2 linked regions of the Oryctolagus cuniculus genome follow. The protein of the gene in region 2 purifies or fractionates together with the protein of the main gene of each other region. This does not show direct contact. Links are inferred from orthologs where the notes say so. Each region holds a gene or a part of one and is shown on either strand. Other genes may lie near its edges.

Evidence for each region. The genes of interacting proteins can lie anywhere in the genome.
Region 1: the proteins of NXF1 (region 2) and NXT2 purify together in Homo sapiens (co-immunoprecipitation; 5 studies listed by BioGRID and IntAct, counting the BioPlex papers as one, with this or other methods). This does not show direct contact. The link is inferred for Oryctolagus cuniculus from reciprocal best matches to the Homo sapiens genes NXF1 and NXT2.

What each region holds. Positions count from the first base shown.
Region 1 is NC_091453.1:83,963,162-83,969,382, forward strand, and holds the start of NXT2 (NTF2-related export protein 2), read right to left. Parts: upstream 3,849-6,221; 5' UTR 3,735-3,848; coding exon 3,637-3,734; intron 2,683-3,636; coding exon 2,601-2,682; intron 2,448-2,600; exon of another isoform or gene 2,107-2,447; intron 1,827-2,106; exon of another isoform or gene 1,718-1,826; coding exon of another isoform or gene 1,715-1,717; intron 1,622-1,714; coding exon 1,535-1,621; intron 441-1,534; exon of another isoform or gene 53-440; intron 1-52. UniProt on the Homo sapiens protein: Regulator of protein export for NES-containing proteins. Also plays a role in mRNA nuclear export.
Region 2 is NC_091432.1:8,786,862-8,793,111, forward strand, and holds the start of NXF1 (nuclear RNA export factor 1), read left to right. Parts: upstream 1-2,562; 5' UTR 2,563-2,739; coding exon 2,740-2,767; intron 2,768-4,187; coding exon 4,188-4,371; intron 4,372-4,567; coding exon 4,568-4,721; intron 4,722-6,250.

The DNA of each region.
Region 1 (6,221 bases), on a different chromosome or scaffold from region 2:
TTATGTATTAAAATGAATAAATGATCACAAATTGTTTTTTTTTATTTGACAGGTAGAGTTAGTGAGAGAGAGAAAGAGAAAGGTCTTCCTTCCGTTGGTTCACTCCCCAAATGGCTGCTATGGCTGGTGCTGCGCAGATCCGAAGCCAGGAGCCAGGTGCTTCTTCTTGGTCTCCCATGTGGGTGCAGGGCCCAAGCACCTGGGCCATCCTCCACTGCCTTCCCGGGCCACAGCAGAGAGCTGGACTGGAAGAGTAGCAGCTGGGACTAGAACCAGCACCCATATCGGATGCCAGCGCCACAGGTGGAAGATTAACCAAGTGAGCCAGTGCCGGCCCCAATGATCACAAATTGTAAGCACATGTAGCCCAGACAAGCTTTTCTTCCTTTTCTAACTCTGATAATTAATAAATTTGTTAATCAAGTCATACTATAATTTAATCCCAGAGGTTATACAGATGTGAATCATTTAATCTTTGCATGTGTTAGGAAGAATTATTCCTTATTGCTATTATTCTGTTAGTCTACTTAGTTCAAAAGAATTGTGAGTATTTGCTAAAGCAGAGTCTCTGATGAACCAAATAAATTAAAGTCAAAATGAGACAAAATTCAACAGTTAACTATTTGGAGTCACAGGGAATATTATTTCTTAATATTCTATAATTTAACTTGGGTTCCAATGCCAACATCTATCTTCACACTGATAATGAACTATATCCCACTTTTTTGCTACTTTATTTTTGAAAACAGTAGGCACAATTATAGACAAGGAACAATAAGCATCCACTGCCTCTTCCCATTTCCCATCTTATATCAACAAACAGAAGTACCAGGGACTTCTTTGATCTTCTGCCTTTAGAAGGTGGGCTTTTATCGATAAAGTACCAACTTTTGCATCTGCAGAAGAGAAGTTCACTAAAACACAGTCCTATGCTGCTAAGAGATTTAGATCCATTTGACCACCCAGGTACCTAAATAATTACTTAGAAGATTTGGCACAGGGATAAATTACAATGAAAATGCTGGTGATGTGAAAACTTCGTCTGTTGAATACTAAAGTATCCTAGCTATGTGTATGCTCTTTGTGCCAGCAATAGTTATGAGGCTTAATCAGAAATTACCTATTAATACATGAAATAAAGGGGGCAAATCAGGAAGCATTCCCTGTAATGACAGATCCTTTCACTGGTGCTAATCCTTCCTTAACCATATTGGATAAATGGTGGTATTAAGACAAGGTAACATATTTAAGTAAATATATGATAAACCCAATGATAAATGCGGTTTTCAAATTAATTCCTACTTACAAACCTAATCATAAAATGACATTAAGAAAAATAGCAACTTGCCCATGATCGGGAGAACTAGGTAAAAGCAAACTTATACTTCCACAAACACTATACCAATCGTTCCCTAAGCAATCTGTTTTTAAAGAACAAGTCCAGTTATCATTTACTGAAGTCACACTAATAGCTGGCTCAACAACAAAAGAGAACTGGTATTTAATAAACAGCTGTAGAGTCCATAACACTCACCCGTCTTCTTTTGTCCATTGTCTCGTAGTAAATGTTCACAAACTCCTCAGCAGCTCTGCAGGCTTGATCCACATAAGTTTTGAAATCCTAGGAGAAAAACTTGGAGGTATAGATTACCACCTTTCCAACCCCTCATTAACACAAAACCACCAACCGAAGTTAATGATTTATTTCAATCACCATACTGCTCTATACCCAGTCCTCATTTGTCAATATAAATTTAAGCTTAATAATGGTAAGAACTCAAAAGTCAACAATTTTTTTTACTATTTGTAGGTGCATGTCAATATATAATCATCTCTGATTTGTGAATTAGATTATTTTCATTTGTCACGTATAAACTTCTACTGTTGCCTGGCAACTAACTACTTTGAACTTTCAGTATTTCCAATAAAACATCCACCCTAATAAACACGACGCTGTATGAACCTTAAAAGGAGGGGGAAGGGAAGCTAGTGAGTAAACTAAGAACGTGTTCAGTTCTCCTTTCAAGGGAGAAGTGAGGACAAAACTCAAAACTGCTCAAAGGGAAAAAATAAAAATTAGAAAAAGAATGAAGTTCAAGGAACTACCTGAAAAACTACGTAGCTCCACTTGAACAACTGTTCTACTATGTAAACATTTACCGGTGTTTGTCAAAGAATTGCAGAATATTAGAAGAAAAATATTATTGGGGGCTGCGCAGGACTCAGGATCAAATAGCTTCTTGCCTAGAAATTCGCTGGTCCTGGCGTATTACTTGAATTAATAACAGTGAATCGCCAGTTTCTCAGGCGATCGAAAGAGATTTTTAGGGAATCAGATCGGGAAGAGTGTTTCAGTCGTAAACAAACACTAAGACCCTGCCTCTCCACTCTCCGGATTTAACTATCCTTTCCGGGACCAAAATACTACGGCACAACTTTCGGAGGGCGGGCAGTAGAGTGGACCCCGCCCCGGAGCCAGGCTGGTCAGACCCTGATTCGCTACCTGTTCATGTGACCAGGAGCCAGTCCAACCCTGAGCCCCTCCCCTCTACCGCCCATGCTTGGGCGCCGAGACTCCCCATCGCGACCCGGACACTCACCACGGACGTGGCCATCGAGGAGCCCGAAGCACTTTGGTCCAGTGGCGGCGTTACTACCTCCTCGCGTCTGTGGCCTCCTCGGCTGCGAAACGATCAAACGTTTGGGAAGAGACCGAAATCCGCCAAACGCGCACAATTTTCTAATAGCCAATTCGGTTCCGGAAGTAGATCGGTCCGTCGCTAAAAGCAACCCGACGTTCCAACCGTAGGTCTACCTCCCTTCAGTTCCGATTGATTCCTCCCACCTGGCTTATTTATTTACTAGATGTTTATTTATGTAGTTTAACAGAAAAAAAGAACACTTTACTTTTGCTAACTGCATACTCTGAAGAAAAGTATACCAATTTTTAAACGGTACACCTTGGGTCGAATCAAAAGGGGCCACTTAAGGGGGGGTTTCTTTGCTACAGGAAGTGGGGGGGGGGGTCAAAGCCCACTGACGACCAATGAGAAACCGGAGACCTACAAGATCCATGGTCTATAGGAAAAAGGGGGCGGACCTTGGGGAAAGGCATACTGCGCATGACTGCTGGAGAACCGTTTGCCGCTTAGTTCTGGAACATTCTCAAAGAACCTAGGCTATTGAAGCAAAAAAGTTTGGTGGTATTCTGGAGATTATTCACTATTAGATTTTACTTTGGGCATATTTAAGGGTAAAGACTCGAGTCTCTCTTCAACGATACATTTTAAAATATATTGCCGATCTCAGACAAGAATTAATTCACGATGCCATTCACTACCTTTTCCCGGTTACTTACCACACAAAGCAAACAACAGATAAAATGCCAAGTACAAAGTACTTTTCCACACATTTTTACTCATTCTCTTATTTCCAGTAGTGTCGAGGTAACTGCTGTTTTTATCAAATCCATTTTTAGCTAAGATACAAAGTATTTAACCCGCTCAGGGACACAGGAAGAGATTCAAGCCCAAATGATAAAACTACGGCAGCAATCTGGCTCTTCGCCCCACCATCCCTTAAGAATGTCCACCTTCAAGTCATCCACGACTTAACGGCTGTCTAATCGGATCTTACTATGAGTAGCTGGTTTGTGGCTCCTCATGACGATAGTCGCTCCTTCCTTGACGCCTTTCATAGTCTTCCTGAGACCAGTCTCTTCTGAATTTTCTCATCTTTTCAATTTAATTTGTTTTTCCCGTCACTCTCTTTTTAAGTCTAGCTCCAACGGCCACCATACAGGACTTCTCTGTCCTCCTCAGCGTGCCACTAGCTGACGTCACGTCCGGATGTCTCACACTTTAAGCTCTCCCTCCTGCCACCTCATAATGTCCGGGTGTCTCACACTTTAAGCTCTCCCTCCTGCCACCTCATAATGTCCGGATGTCTCACACTTTAAGCTCTCCCTCCTGCCACCTCATCACAGCCGTTACATATATGCTAATAAACCTCAACAGGCACCACCTCCTTGCTGAGTTCCAATTACAAATAAGGAATTTTATTAAACATGAATATCACGACACACTATAGGCTTTCAACACTTGGAAGCCCAGATTTTAGTCTTTTTTTTTTTTTTCTGCACTTCCAGTCTGTCCTCCTTATTCTTTCCGTCATCTCTACTGGAGTCCTTGGAATGTTCGTTCCCCTATCCCGAGCATCATCATTCATTCAACAAATATTTATTAAACATTTACTATGATGCCAGACGTTGTGCAAGGTTCTGCATATAGAGTGGTGAATAAAGCAGACATAACGCATATATTCATGAAGCATAAAGTGTAATGGGGGTGCTGGACAGTAAATAAAGCTTTCATGAGTTGCAAAATAATTCCACATAACTTTCCTAGTTCTGCCTGTTCTCTAAAGCGGCTTATTCTGTTTTTATCTTTTCGCCTCTCTTTCCGCCATGCACCAACTGTGATCACTCTAATCTCTTTTGTCCCCCGGAAAGTTCTCCTAATCTTCGAAGACCTACCTTAGTCTGTTCTCAATTTGTCTTTTTCAGATTTCTCCCAAATTCACAAACACTGGCAAAATTAACTACTATTATTTGCCAAAAGGGACTCTTTACTGCTTTACTGGTTATTGTCTTTATTGTGGGCTGCTGTTTCATGTTTCATTCAATCCTTACAAGCCGAGAGAGGTAGATATTATTATCCAGATTTTAAAGAATTGAAACTGAAGTTCAAAGAAGTTAATTGGCTAGAATGATACACCGAGTGGACATAGGATTTTAACCCCATACTGTCTGACCCCAAAGTTTTTGCTCTTAGAAACTCTGCTATTCATGAATTTTCTTATACTCTTCTTATTTTAGAATGTTCACTACCTATGTGTAGCTCCCCTTCAGGGACCGGGGCAGGTTCACTCTCCTCTATAAGTCTTCCTTTATTTCTTTTTCCCTGAACCTAAATGCATATCGTTTGGGTTACTTCTTTTATGACTATAAGGGCAGCTATTGGTGTTGTCAGTAATGCTGGGAACTAGGGGGTTACTGGGAATACTGGAAAGGGAGATTTGAATGAGAAGTGGGGGCAGGACCTCAAAGTTTTTTGTACTGACTTTTTGCAAAGAATGTTGTGCTACACTGCAAGAATTGCTACATTAGTGTGCTACAGACGTGGGAGGCTTGGTAAACTGATAATGGAGAAACCAATGCTGGGCTTTGTTAGGATAGAGCAGTGAATTTAAACCATAAGAAAACTTGTTGACTAGGGAGTCGGGTGGGAACCAGGTGAATAAGAAACAGAATTGCTTTTTCCTAGATAACTACATTTGTGCAAAATGTTGGGAGAATGACTCAGAAGGGAGTAAAAGGGCTTTTCTTGGAACATGGAGTGGAATTTTGGTCAAACACATTGTTAGCATCAGTCTGGGTTAAAATCCTGACAACACTGCTGACTATTTCTGTGACTTTGGCCAAATTGCCTAGTGATTGCATTACTCAGTCCCCTGATATATGGAATAGAAATAATAATATTAGTATATATTTCAGAATATTGCTGTAATATTTAAATGTGTCACTGCCTGTCATATGGTCCCTGTTTAAGGCACATTATTTCCCTACCTATTGCAGAGGAGATTTGGTAGCTATGTATTTGAGAGTTTGAAATTGGGATAGATTAGGTAACTATTGGTGTATTGAGAGAGGTATCAGTACAATTCAGGAAACAGGGATCCTGGGATAACAGATCATAGGAGCAATATATTGGGTTGATTAAATTGCTTGAGGTGGTATTGTGCAGCCAGCTCTCCTGGTCAAGTGTAGATGAAAATCGCTGGAAGTTACCTAAATCCCTGTTGGAATCTTTGCCTTACTCTGGACTTGAGCAGGACTAATCTTAAACAACCAGAACTGTGTGTCCCTTCCTCTCAGATCTCTGATTGAGAACCACCTAGTTAAAATTAAATAGTTTTTAAAAAAGCTTTATTGAGATATAATTCATATCCAATAGAATTCATTCTTTTAAAGTCTTCAATTCAGTGGATGTACTCACAGGGTTATGTAAGCATTACCACAAAACTATAATATTTTTAAAATATTCTAAAATATTCAGGAAATAAACTGCTTTCCTACTACCATTCAGTTCCCGTTGTCTTTTCACTCAGGCTCCAGTGACCACCGATATAATTCCTGTCTGTATGGATTTTTCTAGACTGGA
Region 2 (6,250 bases):
TCCAACCGGTGGCTCATGGTCAAAATCTTCCTCATCCTCATTATCTTCTTCATCATCTTTGTGGTCTTCCTTGCCTGAACCCTCTCCACTCTGAGGCACTTGTGGGGGTTTGGGGGACCCTACTGGGAGGGCAGGTGGCCAGTGCTGCCACTGAGCCTGTGCAGGGTGCTGGGGAGAAAGGCCTTATTTCCCTGGAACTGCTAAGAATGGCCACTGCCCATGATCTCCCCACCCCTTGCCTCTGGCCACTCTGTCCTCCCCTTACTACCCTCAGGCCCTTGAAACACACGGTTCTGGATTTGGACTCTGCTGTGAAGTGGCTGGAAAGGAGCGGAGGCCAGCTGAGGGCTCGTGGGGGTGTCTCCACTAGGAGGTTTTATAAACCCTCCCCAGCATCTCCCAGTGGGAACTGTGGCAGCGGGGAAAATGATGCCCTTCCGCAACTTCCTGAGAGTGAGGAAAGGAAGCCAGACTGTCCCAGGGACCAACTTTCCTGTCTGGGCTAGAACTTGAGCTTCTTCCTCTGCACCATGGGAGACAGGGGGCCCTGAGCCCTTCAGCTGCCTGCACAACCCCTGACAGCAGCTGCTGGTGACTCTCAATCCGCCAAATATGCTGCAGCCGGTTTTCTCCCAATTACAGCAAGACTGTCAGCCTCACTCGCCATGTCGTCATTTCTGGGTGGGAGCTTCAAAGGGCGTGGGCAGCAAGTGGAGTGAGCGCACCGCGGAGCACCAGCACCGGAAGGATTGGGCTGTTGGCTCCGAGGGTCCCCACAGCGTTGGGGCTGTGTACACACTGCTTTGCCTCTAGGCAGGAGGTAGCCAAGTACAGTGGCACCTCATTAGCCTAGAAATTTCCTTTCGAAAGCGGGAGCAGGATCCCAGAAGGGGTACCTGATTGGTGGCAACTTCGGGAGCATCTCAAGCAGTGTTTGGTCCAGTTTCATCTGTGTCCTCCAGGCTTTTGGTCCTAATTCTTTCTGGAGCTGATTGAGGCAGGAGTTCTGCCTGCTGCCAGAAGGTGAATTGAAGAATGTTCCCAGCTCCGGCTAAGGCTGGCTCTCCTCCAAGCCAGACACAGGAGTCTGGAGGAGAGGCAGCACAGAGTACTCTCCAAGGAGGTCAATGAATTTTCATTCCCCACCAGGACCCACAACTCCACCATCTGAGATCACTAGCGCCCCCATCTGACACACCCCCAAAGCAGCTCAATCAGTGTACTTAGGGACTGGCCCTGGTACTTTTGGAGATCTGGGAGAGCCCATGGCCCTGGCATTTTTTTGTAAGAATTAATTTACTTAAAAGGCAGAGTTAGAAACATCTTCTTTCCACTGGTTCACTCACCAAATGGCCACAATGTCCAGGGGCTGGGCCAGGCTGAAGCCAAGAAACTAGAACTCTGCCCAGGACTGCCACATGGGTGGCAGGGTCCAGGTTCCTGGGCCATCTTCCACTGTTTCCCAGGCATGTTAGTAGGGAACTGGATTGTAAGTAGAGCAACCCGCACACAAACCAGTGCCCATATGGGATGTTGGTGTCACAGGGGGCAGCTTAAGCCACTTTGCCACAGCGCTTGTCCTGGCCCTGGCATTTTGAAGTTCCCTCTCCTTGGCATCCCTCAGCCAGTGGCCTACCACAGCTGGTCACGCTGGCTGCTCAGCTGACACGGGATGGGCTCTAGCTCCACGTCTGGGTGGGGAGGTCTTTGATGATGAATGCTCGCTCAAAGCTTTACACACGCGGCCTCACTTGACTCCTCGTCGTTCTTCGAAAGAGAAAGGACACAGAACAGAACGCATTTGTTTGATGTTCCAGTCATGATACTGAGCCAGGAGCTGGAAGAAAGCCATGGATTGGGGTTTCTGCTCCCACGGAGTTTACACTGTGGTTTTCCATTTCGTCTTTCCTTTTTTTTTTTTTTTTTTTTTTTTTTTGAGAGGCGGAGTAAGAGGTCTTCTGTCTGTTGGTTCACTCCCCAAATGGCCCCAAAGTCCAGAGCAGGGCCGATCAGAAGCCAGGAGCTTCTTCCTGGTCTCCCACGTAGTTGTAGGGGCCCAAGCACTGGGGCCATCCTCTGCTTTCCCAGGCCATCAGCAGGGAGCTGGATTGTAAGTGGAATAGCCAGGACTCCAACCGTTGCCCATATGGGAATGCCGGCGCCGCGGGCGCTTAACCTACAACGCCACAGCGCCGGCCCTTATTTCGTTATTATTAATCCATGTAATAGACGAGGAAAGCGAGGCATTGACCTGAAGCCGGCAAAGAGGAAAACAAATACTACCAGCATCCTGCTGAGGGGAGCGCCGAAGCGGGGTTCCATTTCTCGAAGGCTCTCCGTGCGGCCCCTTTCCCTAAGTTCTGAGCTCCAGCAGCCCGCTCGCTGTTGCAAAGCTAAAGAACTGCCACAGCTGCCTGGGAGAGCTGATGAAAAGGTGGCGGGTGACGGACGGACTAGCCGGCAGCGAGCCGGGCACCCGCGGGCTCAGCTCCGAGGCGGGGCCTGGAGGGGGCGGGGCCCGCCCCGCGCGGCAGCCTTGCGTGTGCGCACGCGCAGGGGGGCGCGCCCTCCCTGAGGCACCGCCCACAGCCTGCGGACGTCGCTGGCGCGCGACGTGCTTCGCCGGATAAATGCGGTGGCGCCCCGCGTAAGAGCGCTTGGGTCTTGAGCGCTTGGGCGTTTGGACGTTTGGTGGCGTCGTGGCCGGCGCCTAAGCCAGCCTCTGTTCTTTGCTGTGCGATGGCGGATGAGGGGAAGTCGTACAACGGTCAGTGCTGGATCTCGTGTGTGGAGCGGACGATCTGGGGCCCGGGTGGGCGGCGCCGGCCTAGGCCGCAGCTCGGGGCGAGAGGCCGCGAGGGGTCCGGCGTCCGAGGGGAGCGGCGGCAGCGCGGGGCGGGTGGGGGCAAGGCGGTCCCCGGGGGGCCGGCCGGACTCGAGGTGGGCGCGCGAGTTGACAGGACTCCGGGGCACTGGCGTTGGGAGGACCTGCGGCTCGGAGCGGGCGGCTCGGGTGGGTTGACGGGATTTCCTTTGAACTTTGAGAGTGGCTGGTGCCTGTCAGTTCAGTTTGGCGGCCCGACTCTTCCTTTAATGTGACTCAGTGGGCTGCCCTGGTGCCCTGGTTTTGTTGTTGTTGTTTTTTTTTTTCTTACCGCGTCCAGTCGGCCTTGCCTTCTGGCCTGTGGCTTTGGCTTAATAGTTGAGACCGACACACCAACTGGATGTTTTGGTCCCGACACCCTACCGGCTGTGAGTCCATTATAGTGGTTTGGAGGGCCCGGCAGCCGAGTTTTGAAACCTGGGTTGTCTACAGCAAGCTGGAGGGAGTTAAACTCTCAGGCCTCTTTCCCAAACCCCTTAGTGTGGAAAGTAACTACCTGTTTCCTCTGTGTGTGTGTAAGAGAGAAGAGAGACTGTGTGTGTATGAGACAGACAGACCGTGAGATCATTACATACCAGGTGCTGGTAGCACAGTGCCCGGCACAGGAGAGTGCCTTCAGTGAGTGTTCACCGTACCCTCTGTTCATGTATTCTGCTTGGCCGGGGTTATCTGTTGGGGCTCATTATTTACAGAGTACCGGGCACTAGGTAGATGCGTTTTTCTTTGGAAGTCATGGACCATTTTTAAAGGAGCCGTTCCTACGGAGTTAGTAGGTTATGTTTATCTAGAGAGCATCTGGGGACCTTTCATTGAGCAGCCTAGGGTGGGGCTGCTTCTCTGGTGCCTGAGTCCAGGCCCGGTCTCCTGAGCTTTTAAAGGGCTTTTCTGGCCAAGGAAACGGAGCATCTCAGAACTTTCAGAGTGGCAGTTTAAGAACGTGGAGTTATTTTAGAGAGCCCTTTCAGTTGATCCTGTTGTAACTTTCATTCAAGCGGTATAGGTACATAACTGAGTGGCAGAATTCAGGTGGTTTTCAGGAGTCTGACTTGTGGGCAGTTACACTTTTGGGTTGGCCACACTTCTCCATTCTGGTTCTCTTCTCTGTAGTTCTGGTTTCTGCTTCGTTTTTCAAAAGCCCTGCACAGTCTCCCAATAACTTTTCCCTGATGATGTCATCCACGGTTTTCTGGAGGTGGCCCCTGTGGTTCTTATGTTCTCTCCCAACAGTGAGGCACTGTGATTGCCATATGGAGGTGCTGGGAGCAGTGGTGTTAATAATTCGTGTGCCTGTTTCTAACCGTAGAGTACGATGACCGTGTTAGTTTCCCTCAAAGAAGAAAGAAAGGCCGGGGTCCTTTCCGGTGGAAGTATGGTGAGAGTAACCGTCGCTCTGGAAGAGGTGGTTCTGGTATCCGGTCTTCCCGGCTTGAGGAGGATGATGGAGATGTAGCAATGAGTGACGCCCAGGATGGTCCCCGAGTACGATAGTAAGTGACCAGTTCGTCTGGGTTATATTAGTGACCCCCTAGATTATATAGCCCTCTTAGTGGCCATGTCATTTCTCTTCCCACCTGGAAGAATAAGAAATGCCAGGACCAGTTTAAATGGTCCTGTACAGTGCGGGGACAGTCTTTGAGAAAACTTTGGTAGCACATATGGACATTTTGCTCTGCCTCCTCACAGCACCCCCTATGCTGCCCGACCCAACCGCCGGGGCGACACTTGGCATGGTCGAGAGCGTATTCATGTTACTGTGCGGAGAGACAGAGCTCCTTTAGAGCGAGGAGGGGCCGGCACCAGCCAGGATGGGACCTCCAAAAACTGGTTCAAGATTACGGTGAGTACTGTGGGAAACAAAGCGGTACAGGGACAGGGGGACCTTGCTCAGAGTACAGGTGTTTGTTATTCCACAAAAATCTGTTTTCTTGGCCCTTTACTGCACAATCAGGTGTCCTTCCTTTCTCTCTCTCTCTTTTTAAATATTTTATTTTATTTATTTGAAAGAGTTACAGAGAGAGGTAGAGACAGAGAGAGAGGTCTTCCATCCGTTGGTTCACTCTCCAGATGGCCACAACGGCCGGAGCTGCGCCGATCGGAAGCCAGGAACTTCCTCCAGGTCTCCCACTCGGCTACAGTGGCCCAAGGACTTGGACCATCTTCTGCTTCCCCAGGCCATATCAGAGAGCTGGATCAGAAGAGGAGCAGCAGGGACTAGGACTGGTACCCATATGGGATGCCAGCGCTTCAGGCCAGGGCTTTAACCTGCTGCGCCATAGCGCCAGCCCCCATCCTTTCTCTTAAGGGTCAGTATCTTAGAACACTTTAGAACAGGTTCAGAGAAGGCAAGGCAGGGAGTAGGTAGAATGGGACAGAAGGGAGATGTAACTGTAGTCAGAAGGCAGAGGAGCTCCTCTGGATGTCTCCAATTGGCTGAGGCTGAATATGGGGTTTGGACTCCCTGAAGTTCTGAGGGTACAGACAGGCACAGTATAGGTACTATCTTAAAACTGGCCGGCGCCGCGGCTCACTAGGCTAATCCTCCGCCTAGCGGCGCCGGCACACCGGGTTCTAGTCCCGGTCAGGGCGCCGGATTCTGTCCCGGTTGCCCCTCTTCTAGGCCAGCTCTCTGCTGTGGCCAGGGAGTGCAGTGGAGGATGGCCCAAGTGCTTGGGCCCTGCACCCCATGGGAGACCAGGAAAAGCACCTGGCTCCTGGCTCCTGCCATCGGATCAGCACGGTGCGCCGGCCGCGGCGGCCATTGGAGGGTGAACCAACGGCAAAGGAAGACCTTTCTCTCTGTCTCTCTCTCTCTCACTGTCCACTCTGCCTGTCAAAAAAAAAAAAAATCTTAAAACTTAGATCAAGCAACTTATTGTTTTGAAGAATAAGAAGTGTGTAAGTAGACAGAAAAGAGGTTAAGGAATCCATATGTCTCAAGTGAAAACCCTATGATTGGTTCTTTTCTTTAGAAAAACTTTTTTTTTTAAAGATTTATTTTTTTTTTAAGATTTATTTTAGTTATTTGAAAGACAGAGTTACAGAGAGAGGTAGAGACAGAGAGGTTCTTCTGTCTGCTGGTTCACTCCCCAGATGGCCGCAATAGCCGGAGCTATGCCATTCGGAAGCCAGGAGCTTCTTCCTGGTCTCCCACATGGGTTCAGGGGCTCAAGCACTTTGGCCGTCTTCCACTGCTTTCCCAGGCCATAGCAGAGAGCTGGATCGGAAGTGGGAGCAGCCGGGACTAGAACTAGTGCCCCTATGGGATGCCGGCGCCTCAGGCCAGGGCTTTAACTAAACGCTGTGCCACAGTGCCGGCGCCCCCACCTTTTTTTTTTTTTTTTTTTTTTTTTTTTTTTTTTTTTTGGA